3 linked regions of the Saccharomyces cerevisiae S288C genome follow. The gene in region 1 interacts genetically with each later gene. Each region holds a gene or a part of one and is shown on either strand. Other genes may lie near its edges.

Region 1 (5,015 bases):
AAAAAAGGGTTAAGTCTGTAGAGAAACTCCGTAGTTCCCTTCTGTATTACTAATTGGTTACCAAGTAATAAATACCTGAGAGTAGTAATATATAAAAGAGAAATCGTATAAGGACCGTGTTAAATTTATATATATTAAGGAAGTCTTTCGGTTGGTAGTGTGAGATAACTAATTCTTTTTGGAGAGCCTTCTTCTTTGCTCTATCGTGGTAATAATCTACATATTCTCACAATCGCACACGTACGCTTTCTCTCTCACAAGTAACAAATTATTCTTTTTGCATTATAGACTACGTACGATAAAAATATAAAAACAGAAAATGGTCGAAGGTGATTTTGTCGATGAGCAATCGAACATTGCCTTACTAAGCTCCAAATCCATGTGTGGTGATCATCATAGCGTCAAGAATAGCATAGGGGATGAGATCTTTAAATTATTGACAAAGATTTTAAATTCGGATGAGAAAGCAAGCGGAGATGTGCACACACTCGTTTCTGGGACCCCGGATCTCTCAAATTTTAACCTCGATAATGAACCACTGGAAAACATACTCGCTGTTTTCATAATATCTTTTATTATTGTAGTGGTTGGAGTTTTACTACTTGGGTTGATTGGCATGATATTCATATCTCTCCGTTCAGGCAGCAGTAATGATAAGAAACTACAGTCCAACGATGAAGAAAAGCAAGCACTTGCTGAAAAAGCATGAAATAAAAATAGATATAATAGATGGCACCGCTCTTCACGCCCGAAAGTTGGACATTTTAAATTTTAATTCTCATGATAGTAACGATCGTGCACATTCAATTAATTATCGCATACCAAACATTTTTTTTCCTTTTTCAATTCAACTAATCTCAATTTTTTAATTTTCCTTTTTTTATTTCCTTTTTTTTTATTCTCATCATACCATTTTCATTCGTTGTTGATATCTCTATTGTTTTTTTTGGCAAAATATAGTCTACATATAATATTTAATAATCTAATCTGATAGCGTTAATTTCCATACCGCCTCCTTTTATATCCGTTGGCACTCGACGGTTTCCGTATGCCGTCGGAATGCATCCGCTTCTTGGACTCCTTGATCGTGGTTTGCAGTATATCTACACTGTAAAATATAGAAGTTTTTGGAATGGTGTTACTCCATTGTGATAATATCTTTGGGGGTTCTAGCTTCTTTGGGTTATTCAACCTAGGAAATGGATTGCTCTCGCACGTCTCATCTCTGGATCTTGAAGTTTGCTTGAAGGAATGGTGTGCAGATTTTTCATTGGCTCTTTGGGGTAATTTGCTGGCTTTAACCAAATCTCCTATATCAAACCTGTTAGCATCCACAAATACTTTGGAATATCCTGGTGAGCCATCGTATAACAATTTCAAGGTATCTATTGAGGTTTGTGCCAGTTCTTTTTGGTTCATTTTCTTCACATGCATGATGTGTCTTTTCTCCTTATTTGAAAGGCATGTAACTTTTAGCGTCTCATTTTGACTACTGTTTTCTCTTTCTTTCCTGCCTCTTTTTCCAATGTGGCGTCTTTTATGATTATGTTTATTAATAATGTCTCTTGCTTTGTTCCTATAATAGTCAGCTGTTATACGAAGGTGATTCTTACCGACCAAGTGCGATTTACGAACGCTCAACGTGTCATGGGTCAAATACGAATGACAGTATTCACAATAGTATCTCGTCATTGCCTATCTCTTTCCTCTCCGTTACTTGAGCACCTTCATCGCCTACACTAGGAGCTCATATTATATCTTCAGTATAGCAAGAATATTTTCTGTTATCCTTAACGCTTACCCGCCTATGTACCTTGACACTTGCGGAAATCTAGTGTTCAATGATAAGGTACTGTGTGGAACATATGAAAGTGAAAAGAGTTTGAACCGTTTATTATCTCTATACAAGTGTCTCTATTCACATATAAAAGAGTGAAAATAAAAATAACTTTTAAGATTTTATTACCTACATGAGATTAGAAAAATCATAACTATATTACTCAGCGGCTGTGCCTGTTGTTGATCAAAAGAAAAGATCCGCCCCTTCGAACGTCTTAGTGCCGCCTTTTGCCCGCTTATCAATTTTCTCTGAGGGAACATAACGGCATTTATCTATTCGACTTCCAAATCTACATACACGTATATAGATACATATATATATGTGTGTGTGCGCCTGTGTGTACTAGCACTTCTCAATATTATAATTCTTCCGTAAAGTTCGATCGTGACTTCCTGTTGCACAGTTATCTTAAATAATAGAATAAAAAGCTAACGCAGATTCAAGTGGGGCGTTGTCAGGCACACAAAAAGACAAGACAAAAAGTAGCGTACTAGACTTACAGTTATGCTGTTGTGTAATAGAAAAGTCCCCAAGACTTTAAATACCTGTTTTATACTGCATATATTCACTCTGTTAACACTGGGTGTGTTAGTGTCCGGAATGCCGTCAAAAATGGTATCATTCGCCTCTCAGGAGACTTTGCAGAGAATAAATAATCTCCTTCGAGGGTCTGCCAATCGAGATGTTGACATTATTGCAGAATATTTGAAAAAAGACGACGATGATGATGGCGGCGATAAGGATCACCATAACATCGATATTGACCCTTTACCTCGCCGTCCTAGTTTAACGCCTGATAGGCAACTTCTAAAAGTCGGTTTGCATGGTGCTATAAGTTCAGATTTAGAAGTCTGTAGTAATTTGACTATAAATGAGGTACTCCTGAAATTTCCCGGTTCTAACGCTGCAGACGCTGCAGTAACACAAGCTCTTTGTAAGGGTATGGTGAATTTTTTTAATAGTGGGATTGGAGGTGGTGGCTACGTAGTTTTTTCTGGCAAAGACGATGAAGATCATCTATCCATTGATTTTAGAGAAAAAGCACCCATGGATTCACATAAGTTCATGTTCGAAAACTGCTCTCTATGCTCAAAAATAGGGGGTCTTGCTGTCGGTGTTCCAGGTGAATTGATGGGTCTCTATCGCCTCTTTAAAGAAAGAGGTAGCGGCCAAGTTGATTGGCGTGATCTAATTGAACCAGTCGCAAAGCTGGGAAGCGTGGGTTGGCAAATAGGCGAAGCACTCGGTGCCACTTTAGAACTTTATGAGGATGTTTTCCTGACATTGAAGGAAGATTGGTCGTTTGTATTGAATTCTACCCATGACGGTGTTTTGAAAGAAGGCGATTGGATCAAGAGGCCGGCACTATCTAACATGCTAATGGAACTGGCTAAAAATGGTTCCGTGGCCCCATTTTATGACCCCGATCACTGGATTGCAAAATCCATGATTGATACTGTCGCAAAATACAATGGAATAATGAACTTGCAGGATGTTTCATCGTATGATGTTCATGTTACTAAACCACTGTCCATGAAAATTAGGAAGGGCGCCAATTTCATCCCTGATAACGATATGACCGTATTAACAAGTAGCGGCTCAAGTTCCGGGGCTGCACTACTTGCGGCGTTAAGGATAATGGATAATTTCCAGAATCAAGAAGGGGGCGATTATGAAAAAGAAACTACCTATCATTTGCTTGAAAGCATGAAATGGATGGCAAGCGCAAGAAGCAGGTTAGGCGATTTTGAAGGCGAAGCATTACCTAAGCATATAGAAGAGGTATTGGATCCAGAATGGGCTTTGAAAGCAGTGAAATCAATCAAAAGAAACTCTCAAGACGGAAATTTTAAAACTTTAGAAAACTGGACGCTTTATGATCCGGCATACGATATCAATAACCCGCATGGAACTGCCCACTTCAGTATAGTAGATTCACATGGGAATGCTGTTTCCTTGACAACCACCATCAACTTGTTGTTCGGTTCCTTAGTACACGACCCAAAAACCGGGGTGATCTTCAATAATGAAATGGACGATTTCGCTCAATTCAACAAATCTAATAGTTTTGAATTGGCACCCTCCATATACAACTTTCCCGAGCCCGGGAAAAGACCCCTATCATCCACTGCACCCACTATTGTGCTGTCAGAATTAGGCATCCCAGACCTCGTGGTCGGCGCTTCCGGCGGCTCAAGAATCACTACGAGTGTTTTACAAACAATTGTGAGGACGTACTGGTATAACATGCCTATATTGGAAACGATAGCCTATCCACGTATACACCACCAGTTACTGCCCGACCGCATAGAACTGGAAAGCTTCCCCATGATCGGTAAAGCCGTACTAAGCACTCTCAAGGAAATGGGATATACGATGAAAGAAGTATTTCCCAAGAGCGTAGTTAATGCTATACGCAATGTCAGGGGAGAATGGCATGCGGTGAGTGACTATTGGAGAAAAAGAGGAATCTCCTCCGTATACTAAGATGTGGGGTAAGAATGGTACTGTAATATAGTTCAAGATAATAGTACGTAATGTAGGGAGCCTGCTTCTGTGGTATATAAATAAATACTGGGCTTGCGTTTATTTTTAAAGAATCAATATTTACTTTTCATTAACAAAGGGCATACGCCCTTAAAACAAAACAAAAAATCCAGATCATGCGAGCTTTGCCTTTTTCAGTAAGTTTCCCTACCTTGCAGCCGAGACGCGACTTCGGAACGATGCCAGCATACGTATTTACCATTATTAAAAAAATCTGATGGCTTGATACTGCGCGTTTCTTTTTATAGCATTAATACGCACACATACGCGCATTGTTGTTTACTATAAATAAACCGTGGGGACCTGACCCAGTCATCCTCCCTGTGTTTACAGTGCGGTGCACACGAGCCTGAGACAAGCCCGTAACCAGGCGCGTTGCCGCAAATACAGAGGCGCCCCAGACAACACCGCAGTGTGAAGCACTGTCAATTTAAAACCGTGGCTTGCTGGAGATGCCCAGACCAACCCTGTTGGGTTTTTCTCTCGAGCACGCCGTTATAATTTTAGCGTGTTCCGTACCTGTGTGCACATCAATAAGCGGTGTAACAAACTTGAACTTGCCATCTCATATCGTCATATGAGCAGTTGCAGAGAAAGGCACTTTAAATAAAAAGGCGTGGATGATAAA
Region 2 (5,135 bases), on another chromosome or scaffold:
ATAGCGGATTCATCAGTTTTGAAAAAGCACACAGCAATCAAGAGAAGTACGAGAATAATATCGCTAACACTCGTTTTGCTTGGCGTATTTAGCTTCTTACTACTTACATGGAATGACTCCTTGGAATTCTACAACTCTGCTGACCCTAGCGAAAACAAAAAAAATAGTGAGGAAGAAAGTGAAAAGAAGTTCGTTTACAAGTTGCCAAACTTATTAAAGACAGCAGACAGTTTTCTAAGTAATGAAAATGAACTAAATTTCCAAAAAGTCAAAGAAGAAATTTCAAATATTCAAAGCGAGGTTGAAGTCGACATCCCAGAACCCTCATCCAAAGCTACATCAAAATTTTCTTCAAGATCGTTCCAAACTGATAATGTCGTGACGGCGACGACCACAACAACACTAAATCCACGGTCATCTTCTCTGGCCTTGCAGAAAAACTGCGATCACAAAAAATTCGACCCTAGAACAGATTTTCTAGATATAATAAGAACCTCTCCAGCGGTATTATTCATTAAATCATCACAAGCAGACTCCATTTTCTTAAAAAATCTATTACAAAGAGAATTTGAGATTTCACCCGAATTGGCCACTGTTGATTTGGAAAAACACTCTCATGGCTATGAATTAGAAAAGTATATCAAACAAAATAAACTAAATATCGATACTAGTGCTGCCTTGGAATCCATTCAGTCGCCTTATTTATTTTTGAATGGTATTTCCGTGATAAATCGTGGAATGGTGAGAGATATAATCGAACCTCATTCGAAGGGATTGCTACTACCTCTTCTAAAGTCTGAAGCGCGTGGCAACTTGCTGGTAGAAAAAAAAGACATCCCTTCTAATTCTTAATTTGTTATCACTCCTATCGACGAGCAGCCGCAGCTAAAAGAACGTTTTAATTATTCCCAAATTCACGTAAGCGATCCTCTTTATGTGCTATATATACATTCATAACATAGTCATTGCATTTTCTATCATACGATTCAACTTGAACAAGTGTTTAACCATTTACGTCGTAAATGTCTACAGTATTATCTTTGGTCGTTGTTGTGGATTCATGCTTTTTTCTTTTCGAGAGCTCTTCGTTTTCAGAACTCAGCTCTTCCTTTTCGGACGACTCCCTTCGACTATTCTCCGTACTTGCTGGTTCGTAGTTAAAAAAGCATTCCCCCCACATGCAAAATATTCCTTTCATATATCCATTCTCCTTTACATATAATACTTTACATTTGGCAAATGGACCTAGTACTTTCCTCGTAGCTCGAGAAAGCTGGTTCAAATCAGAGTTCCTTGGCAAAAACATAATCACATTAGGGCTTAGTTTAAGAAAACTTTTCAACATCTTGGTAATCCCCATAGGCTTTAGATGTTGCTCTAAGTCATACACATCGTTTCTTAAGTATTCTGGACCACCCCACGGGGGTGATCCAAATACACAGTCGTACTTTATTTTGGAAAGTTTCTGCTTAGAGACTAGCTTTTTCCAGGATCCCCGCTTCAGCCATATTCTGTCGTCCACACCGTAGCTTTGGGCGTTTTTCGCAGTACAATATATGTGTTCAATACTGTAGTCCACTCCATAGACGTAAGGAAATTGCATGGCAAATTGTATGGTGTTCCCGCCCCCACCACAGAAAACATCCAGTATTCTTTCGGCATTTGGCATGCATGCCTTAACAAAATTTGCCAGGAAGCAGGCAATTCTTTCGGGCGTCACACTGAACCACAGCTCATCAGTCATATATATCGACGCCGAATCTATCTTTGAAAACAATCTACGCCTATTTTTCCAGTATTTGAAAAGTTTACCATTTTTCAACGGTTTTGATGATTCTATCTTATAGGCATCATTGTTCAATAATTTGATCAGAGTTCTAAAGTTGGAATGATGTTTTCTTTTGCGTGCCGCATGTTTTATTTTCGAAGCATGAATAAATGTCCTTCCCATCACTTCAGTTAAATCAACAAAAATTTTTTCTTCTACTTCTGTCTGTTGCCCCCACAACACGGTATATAATATGGGCAATCAATACAACGAAAAACTTACTCGCTGTTTGCGGAATAACTCACTTCCCCTTCATATAGTTTGGTGCGATGCCTTAGAATTTTTCATACATTGTTTTCATGTGGAAAATATTCAAAAAAAGCGATGGCTGGCGAAGATAAAAAAAAGGCTGCTCCAGCCATTCATTACACAGGCAATTCAATATTTCGGTTAGTAAGATAAAGAAGTCGATATGCCTATCCTTAAACATGTTCAACTGGGATAACCAGATTGCTGGGCTTTCAGCAGGTCATCAATTCTTGTACAAATATGTTGTATATATAGATTTAAGTGCTTGATAATTCGGTTGACAACTTAACGGCTTAACAAGTAAAACAAGAACAATTAACTTAACAATAGTGCTCAAATAAATTTGGCTTATTATCACAACAAATATATCATACGGAATGATCATCAGAGCTCCAATAAGGACAAAAACCAAGTCGTTTAGAGGCGATCAAATGGATTTTAAATTCCCGTCTAACGAAAGTTTACCAAGAGGAACGCTAGAAGAGTACCATTTGAATAATCATCATCTTTTAAATGATGTGTTTGCAGCAGAAAATGGAGTTTCTCGCGATGAAGACGGAAACTCTCAAACATTATCAGACTATACATCCACTTCCAATACAAATACAAATTCCGGTTATTCATCAAATGGATACTATTCATTTGCTAACATTTCTGACAATACTACGTCTTCACCACGTATTGTAATCAATCAAAATGAAACCGCTAGATTAACTTCCTCAGACTCGAACAAAAGTGACTTTTTTGCTTCTCATGACTTCCCAGGAAATGACTCTCTTCATTATAGCAGCTCAAATGTAGTTAAAAACCAGTTACATTCAATGGAAGCTATTCCAGAGGGAAACATAACTGGCTCAATCTCAACGGCATTCCAGACTATCCCAACAGCAGATAATGTTTCCTACGATATCGCGCCGTCATCAGCATCATCGTTATTACCAAGGAAATCGACATCTAAAAGCGCCATTCTGCCGTCGACCCAAGAAGCCAAACCGATGACCAAATTAAATATGGAAAAGGATATAAAAACTATCGAATTAAACAATAGCGTAGTACCGAAACCTAAAAAAAAGCTAAACAGAGTTCCGACCATAAGACGAGTTGAATCCTCGAGGTTTTCCAATTCCAGGTATAGTTCAAGTGTCAGCAGTAAATCAAGTAGCAGTCGTTGTTCTCTAAAACGATCAAAAGCTATTAGATGTAAGGGCGGACTCTTATATTATTTCACCTCATTGGGAATCAAGATAAAGAAAAAGTTACGGAAATTACGGCTAGTTTTAAGAAGAAGACTGTTTTCATATAATGTTCAAAAGGTCCCCTCCGCCACGAATTCCAAAACCACTAAATCTAAAGCAAACATTAACAACAAGTCAAAAAAAAGAGGGACGAACCTAGTCAACAAAAACAGCAACTCTACTCCGCGTCAAAAAAAATCGCAGAGATACGTCTCTAATTTACAACGGTCGATCTCATCAAAATCTTTAGTACCTGTATTGGCTCCACAAAAAAAGACTAAACCTTTGACAGTTGATACGAAATTTAAAGCAAACCATCCCCAATCTGAAGATTCCAAAGTTGGATCAAACACCCCAAGGAGCCCTTTGGTAAGCTATACTCCATCATTGAGAAGAACAAATTCCTCTATTAGAAGGGCTGCATCCATCCTAACCGCATCTGCCACTATGACACCGGCAAATAATAAAAACTCCTTCATTTCTGTACCGGATAATGTTAGTCATGCCGTCACTCGCAACAGCAGCATGTACTCGAGGTCAAGATTGGTAAGGTCAAAACCATCGACGGCCCTAAATGCAATTGCAAGACAGCCATCAATTGTGGTAGAAAATAAAGTTATTCCGTTATCCATGAATCGATATTCTATTAAAGAGGAAGACGAATATGTAATTGATACTAGTTCTATGAGAGAATTATCTCCCGTTAATAGCGTTTGCTCATCTGATTATGACAGAGAATCATCTGAAAGCTACTCTAATTATGCGGATGCAATGGAGACAACGGAAGTAGATAATAAGGACAGAGTTGAATGCAACAATGAAATTCAAAATGTGGATGCAAATAATGAGGAAACTTCAAATGAAGAGAGTTACAATTTGATGAAACATTATTTAAGCACCGTAATTGCTCAAAGAATTATGCTCAGGGTACAAATTGCTCGTATACAAAATTATAAGAGCAATGTTGTTTATATGAATAAATCAGCAGAAACAAACTCAACTATCTACGAAGATCTTGTCGATTCTCTATTAACTGAATATGAGGCTGATGGTAGCTCCTCCCAAATATTTGATGGCGTTACAGTAAGGGCCGACGAGGAAGAAGAAGAAGATGAAGATGATGAAGATGATGAAGAAGAAGAAGAAGAAAATGATGATGAAGAAGATGAAGAAGATGAAGAAGATGATGAAGATGATGAAGAAGAAGAAGAAAAAAGAAAAGAAGGAGAAGGAAGAAATTTGGCAAAAGAGGTAGACGAATTAGCGGAATTAAGTCCGATGAGAAAACAAAGCGATTTGAGTATTACGTTAAGATCTCCATTTGCTATGCTAAATCCTGCCTACTCAAACAGCATTATATCGCTACCAACAGGTGTGGTCAAGAGGTCATTGACTCTTCCTGTCGGTATGAAAATTTAAAAATATATAATAACATAAGTTTGCATTCATTAATATTAATATAAATCAACGTATCAACCATAAGAACCATAATCATAATAATTGTTTACCTTAATGGCGATATCGCCTTTTATCACCATCGACGATAACAAACGCCTATTCTGTCTACCGTTTCTTTTTTTCGCTCGCAATATCAGAATCGTTTATCCCAAAGGGTAGTTATAGCAACTATTTAAATAACTTAGATGTTTCTTTAACTTATTCCGTCATACGTACACAAACACCCGCTAGATATAGCACTCCTTGCTGTCGAACATTATAAAGGTGCTTTTAAAACTACTAATCGTATATTCAGCAGGTCAGAACGCAAAGTCGGACGATAAACTATGTTGAAGCTAGCTCGTCCATTTATTCCGCCTTTATCA
Region 3 (5,419 bases), on another chromosome or scaffold:
CTTCTTTTTTTCTCCTTTGGATAGTAAATACGGTAAATTAAAATTAGTGTAAACTGAACAATATTAACATATATAAATCATCTGTACGACAATTTGATACCAAATAAATAGAGAATGCATCAGCATCCTCCAGGGTTCAAAAGAAAACGCTGGATCTTGCTTCTTTTCCTTTGATTTCTCCTTATATCCATTTCTGTCTTGCAGCAACTTCACATATTTTTTCCAGTGTAATGACCCTTGGATCAGGCTTAAAATGACGCTCAACCACATTATCATCTCCTTCCACATTCCTGCTAAGTAAGCTTTCTTCGTCGCCCTCGCTATTGTCCACATTATCTTCATCTTCATCATCATCTCCGCCGACGTCTTCAATGTAGTAGAAAAAGGGTTCCAACACCAACATAATTTTCCAGAAGTTGTTCGTGCCACAATTAGCAAACAAGACATCTACAAGGGCAGGTAGGTATTCCAATTCAATGTACTCCTCTGCGCAACAAACAAATTCATCTAATTCGTAATCTTGCTCATCAGCAGATAATGTAGAATACATTTCTGATAACAACGTTAATTCTTTGCTAATTGTTTTTGGAATATCTTCTCGAGCTTGCCATAACAGCTTTTGCGCTCTTTCCAGTCTTTCTTGGCTAACGGCATCATCCTTGCTCTCTTTTTCGCCTTTATCACCTTGGACATTTTCGGAGTCTTGTAGAGAAGGCAAGAATCCGTTCTTTTCGCTTTTGACCATAAGCTCATTGTATTCGTTATAGAGGGAGATAATTTTCATCATAGGCTTGTATAATTGCTGACAGACTTTCATTTCCGAGTAAGGTACAATGACTTTTTCCAAATAGTGATTGATCAGTCCTTCCATGAAGTTTGCCCAAATTGACGAAAATACATAATCCTCGTCGTAAGTCGATTCCGTAAAATCTTGGTTGATGTTATGCTGTATGATTTGCTCTGTAAGAGTTGGGAAAAGGTTTTTATGGCTTTTGACCATTTCATCTCTCAAAGCAGTAGATCCAGCGCTATCTGCTCCTTTAGTAGAATTTTCCAAACTATTATCTGTTGAAGACGCCTCTGAGTTCTTTTCACCATCTGTCTTATCTAGCCAGTATTCCGGACCACCCTTTTCAGACAATGTCACCAATAAAAGGAAGAGTTTTACTTTAACCCACGGGTTTAGCGAGTTTACATAGGCGTCCGTAATTTTGCTAACATCGATATTTATTTTTCTATGGATGCATTTGATAAATTTTTCAATGTAATGTGATTTTTTCAATCCGTATTTTTCATTCAGATATCCAACCGAAGTGATTACGTCGTAATTTGTATTTTCCATGTTCGTATGCTTCAAAAAGTTGAATGTTAACTTTCGTCTATTTCCATAATGTCTTTCTCTTTTCTCCTCACCTTTCTTCTTTCTTCTAATCTTTTTTTCTTTTGAAGCACCCAATTTAAGACATCTTTTACAGGTACAGTCCTTTAACGATGGCTCGTTGGCCGCTTGCTTGGGCAATAAATCTTTAGCCATCTTCTTTGGCGCGCTATACTAGGCTTGATTTATAATGTTAGTTATTCCAAAAATGTGAAGGAAATTGATCAAGGCAAGCTCTAATGATGATTATTGACCCATGCAACAAAAAAAGTTTGAATTCTCTTAATTTTCCAGATCGCAAGTTAGTAGTCAATCTGCTAACTTTCGTTATATTTCAAAAAAGTAATTGTACAAAAAAAGTCACCAAAAACGAGGACTTTTTTCACTGCGTTAAAGATTAGATCTACATAATGAATACTCAATTCTTTACTTAATTTCGCTCTACAAAATAGACCATTTAGGAAAGTTGGGTTGCTTCCATCATGTCAAAGTCGTCCTCATCTATATAAGTACACAGAACAGTGCGATCGTTGAATTGCGTACCCGGCAATTCTTCCATTGCGTGTTTTGCTGCCTCCAAGGTCTTGAACTTGATATAAATATTACCGGCTCCGGAAGCCAAGTTTTCAAAATTAAGTCTGTAATCGACGCCGGGTTGGCATATTTTAATCGTATCTGCTCCCGCGATACTATACTTTAATGTTTCTTTAATTTCTGTGATAAAGGTTTCATCTTTCAAATCCAATGGATCAAGACAATTTAAGAGCAACAAAACTCTCGATTCAACACGAACAGATTGGGTAACCAGATTTGGCAGGCTTTGAAACGTAATCCATGAAGTAACTTGTGATATCTTTCCATCATTTGGCTTGAACCATTTGTATGGTTTTAATTTATCAAGAATATCCTGAGTGACGACTTCAAACGATAATAGAATACATTTAGTGAATTCGGATTCTTTGCCAGTGTTGTTTGTATTGGACGAACATTTGTAAAAAAGTGGCTTAGCGGTACCGTTTGTTACATTCAATGACGAAAAAAGCTCTTTCATTCTATAATCTTCACCCTCGCCTATATTTTCCAAATTTTCCAATGCAATTACCGTACCCCTGCAAAAATCGACCAGATGATCAAGTTGTTGAACATAATCATTAGGTCTTCTCCATTTTAAGTCGAAAGTACCAAGCTTCGCATTAAAGAATGATCGACAGGCCAAAACCATAGTGCTACAGATCTGAGAACTAAACTCAACAATAATATGGTCCGGCCTTCCTTCACCAATATAAAAGTTGGAAATTTTAAAGTCCTCCGCATTACTCTCAGTTTTCTGGAGACCTGAAATAAAATTTTCCAGCAAATCTTTCAATCTTGCTACAATGCTGGGGTCGCTGCTTTGAGACAAGCCCGAAATTACAAGCCTTGAATTTGCCTTGGATGAGGCCATGTTGTAGTAAGCCGGAGAATCGAATGATGAACCCGGGTACATTACATTTTGGGAATTATAGTTCATGTCATATTTATTAGTTTGCAACTGCCTTTTATCACGGTCGCCATTGAATTTAGAACCTTCGTTCTTCCTTTGGTAATTGAAACGATCGTAGTTTCCGTTTCCATTTCTTCCCCTTCTATCGAACCTTTCATTTCTTCCTCTTCTTTCATCCCGTTGCCTATTATAGGGATTGTTGTTCCATTGGGGCCCAGTATTGTGACTACTATACCGATTCTCCCTGTTATATGATCTTCCCGATGCATCCCGATAACTTTGACGATGAGGACCTGCCCTTGTTTGTTCATAAGTCGTTCGATTCGTGCTCATAGTAATTATTGACGATGGTCCTCTGTTATTAGAATGTGAAACGTTTCTACTTTTTGGCGCTTTCGGAAGCTCACCGTCACTTTTTTGCCTCTTAAAATGTGTATCTATAACTGCATTATCCGTGTTGAATCTTTTGTTCTCAATCGGCACAACATCCTTTTCTGATTTTCCTATAGACTCCATTATTTTGGATCTCAAATCCTCCAGTCTCTTTTCATCAGCCATCTCCGTGTGCTTGTTTTCTGTGTCAATTAACTTTCCTTTTCTACTTCTTTTATATTAGCATGTACAGTTTAATTTCTCATCTCGAATTTTTTCAGCACTTGCTAATTAGGCGCGCGCCTCAAATATATAATATCGAACACGCTGTTATAAAAGTGATCCATTCTACAGCGTAATATTAACAGTATCGCTCCTGCAGTATTCTGGCATTATTAGTGCAAATAAGTACGCATATTACCATGCGAAACGTTTTAAGGCTTTTATTTTTAACAGCTTTTGTTGCTATAGGGTCTTTAGCAGCCGTTTTAGGTGTTGATTACGGTCAGCAAAATATCAAGGCCATTGTGGTTTCTCCGCAAGCCCCATTAGAACTTGTGCTCACACCAGAGGCAAAACGGAAGGAGATATCTGGTCTTTCGATAAAAAGATTACCAGGTTATGGAAAGGATGATCCGAATGGGATTGAAAGAATCTACGGTTCCGCTGTTGGCAGTTTAGCAACAAGGTTTCCCCAAAACACATTGTTGCATTTGAAACCGCTACTTGGGAAATCACTAGAAGATGAAACCACTGTAACTTTGTATTCAAAACAACACCCCGGTTTAGAAATGGTATCAACAAATAGAAGTACCATAGCCTTTTTAGTTGATAATGTGGAATATCCATTGGAAGAGTTAGTGGCAATGAATGTCCAAGAGATTGCCAATAGAGCCAATTCACTGTTGAAGGATAGAGATGCAAGAACTGAGGACTTTGTAAACAAGATGAGTTTTACAATTCCTGACTTTTTTGACCAACATCAAAGGAAAGCACTTTTAGATGCCAGTTCAATAACCACAGGAATCGAAGAGACATATCTGGTTAGTGAAGGGATGTCTGTTGCAGTTAACTTTGTATTAAAGCAGCGCCAATTTCCACCAGGTGAACAGCAGCATTATATCGTATATGACATGGGGAGCGGTTCTATTAAGGCCTCAATGTTCTCTATATTGCAGCCGGAGGACACTACTCAGCCCGTTACAATAGAATTTGAAGGATATGGGTATAATCCACATCTAGGTGGTGCAAAGTTTACAATGGATATTGGCAGTTTGATAGAGAATAAGTTTTTGGAAACACACCCAGCCATAAGAACTGATGAATTGCACGCTAATCCCAAGGCCTTAGCAAAAATCAACCAAGCAGCAGAGAAGGCAAAGTTAATTTTAAGCGCCAATTCTGAGGCAAGTATTAACATAGAATCACTGATCAACGATATTGATTTCCGTACTTCTATAACTAGACAGGAATTCGAAGAATTTATTGCAGACTCGTTATTGGACATTGTCAAACCCATAAATGACGCTGTTACAAAACAATTCGGTGGCTATGGAACAAATTTACCTGAGATAAATGGGGTCATTTTGGCGGGAGGCTCTTCCCGAATTCCCATTGTGCAGGATCAATTAATCAAACTCGTATCCGAAGAAAAAGTGTTGAGAAATGTCAATGCTGATGAATCAGCTGTGAATGGTGTTGTTATGAGAGGGATCAAGTTATCTAATTCGTTTAAGACCAAGCCGTTAAATGTTGTTGACCGTTCTGTAAATACTTATTCATTCAAATTATCAAACGAATCTGAACTGTATGATGTGTTCACGCGCGGAAGTGCTTATCCAAACAAAACATCTATTTTGACAAACACGACTGATTCGATTCCTAATAATTTTACCATTGACTTATTTGAGAATGGTAAATTGTTCGAAACTATCACAGTTAATTCAGGAGCTATAAAGAATTCATATTCCTCTGATAAGTGCTCGTCAGGAGTTGCGTATAACATTACTTTCGACTTGTCCAGTGATAGATTATTCTCTATTCAAGAGGTTAACTGCATTTGTCAGAGCGAAAATGACATAGGTAACTCCAAGCAAATTAAGAACAAAGGCAGCCGTTTGGCTTTTACTTCTGAGGATGTTGAGATCAAAAGGCTTTCTCCTTCAGAACGTTCGCGTTTGCATGAG

The links.
Region 2: mutations in YHC1 (region 1) and TGS1 together harm fitness more than expected from each alone (negative genetic interaction), as found in Saccharomyces cerevisiae (5 studies listed by BioGRID, with this or other methods).
Region 3: mutations in YHC1 (region 1) and MUD2 together harm fitness more than expected from each alone (negative genetic interaction), as found in Saccharomyces cerevisiae (5 studies listed by BioGRID, with this or other methods).

Annotation. Positions count from the first base shown.
Region 1 is NC_001144.5:723,725-728,739, forward strand, and holds YHC1 (Yhc1p), read right to left. Parts: upstream 1,693-5,015; coding exon 997-1,692; downstream 1-996. Other genes in the region: YLR297W (uncharacterized protein), read left to right, coding at 320-709; ECM38 (gamma-glutamyltransferase), read left to right, coding at 2,345-4,327. UniProt on the Saccharomyces cerevisiae protein: Component of the spliceosomal U1 snRNP, which is essential for recognition of the pre-mRNA 5' splice-site and the subsequent assembly of the spliceosome.
Region 2 is NC_001148.4:251,630-256,764, reverse strand, and holds TGS1 (RNA methyltransferase), read right to left. Parts: upstream 1,952-5,135; coding exon 1,004-1,951; downstream 1-1,003. Other genes in the region: pheromone-regulated protein PRM4, read left to right, coding at 1-852; AIM44 (Aim44p), read left to right, coding at 2,455-4,731; PET20 (Pet20p), read left to right, coding at 5,097-5,135. UniProt on the Saccharomyces cerevisiae protein: Catalyzes the two serial methylation steps for the conversion of the 7-monomethylguanosine (m(7)G) caps of snRNAs and snoRNAs to a 2,2,7-trimethylguanosine (m(2,2,7)G) cap structure.
Region 3 is NC_001143.9:292,775-298,193, forward strand, and holds MUD2 (Mud2p), read right to left. Parts: upstream 3,420-5,419; coding exon 1,836-3,419; downstream 1-1,835. Other genes in the region: AAN1 (Aan1p), read right to left, coding at 182-1,534; Hsp70 family chaperone LHS1, read left to right, coding at 3,656-5,419. UniProt on the Saccharomyces cerevisiae protein: Splicing factor that contacts pre-mRNA directly and is a component of the pre-mRNA-U1 snRNP complex (commitment complex 2) that forms during early spliceosome assembly in yeast extracts.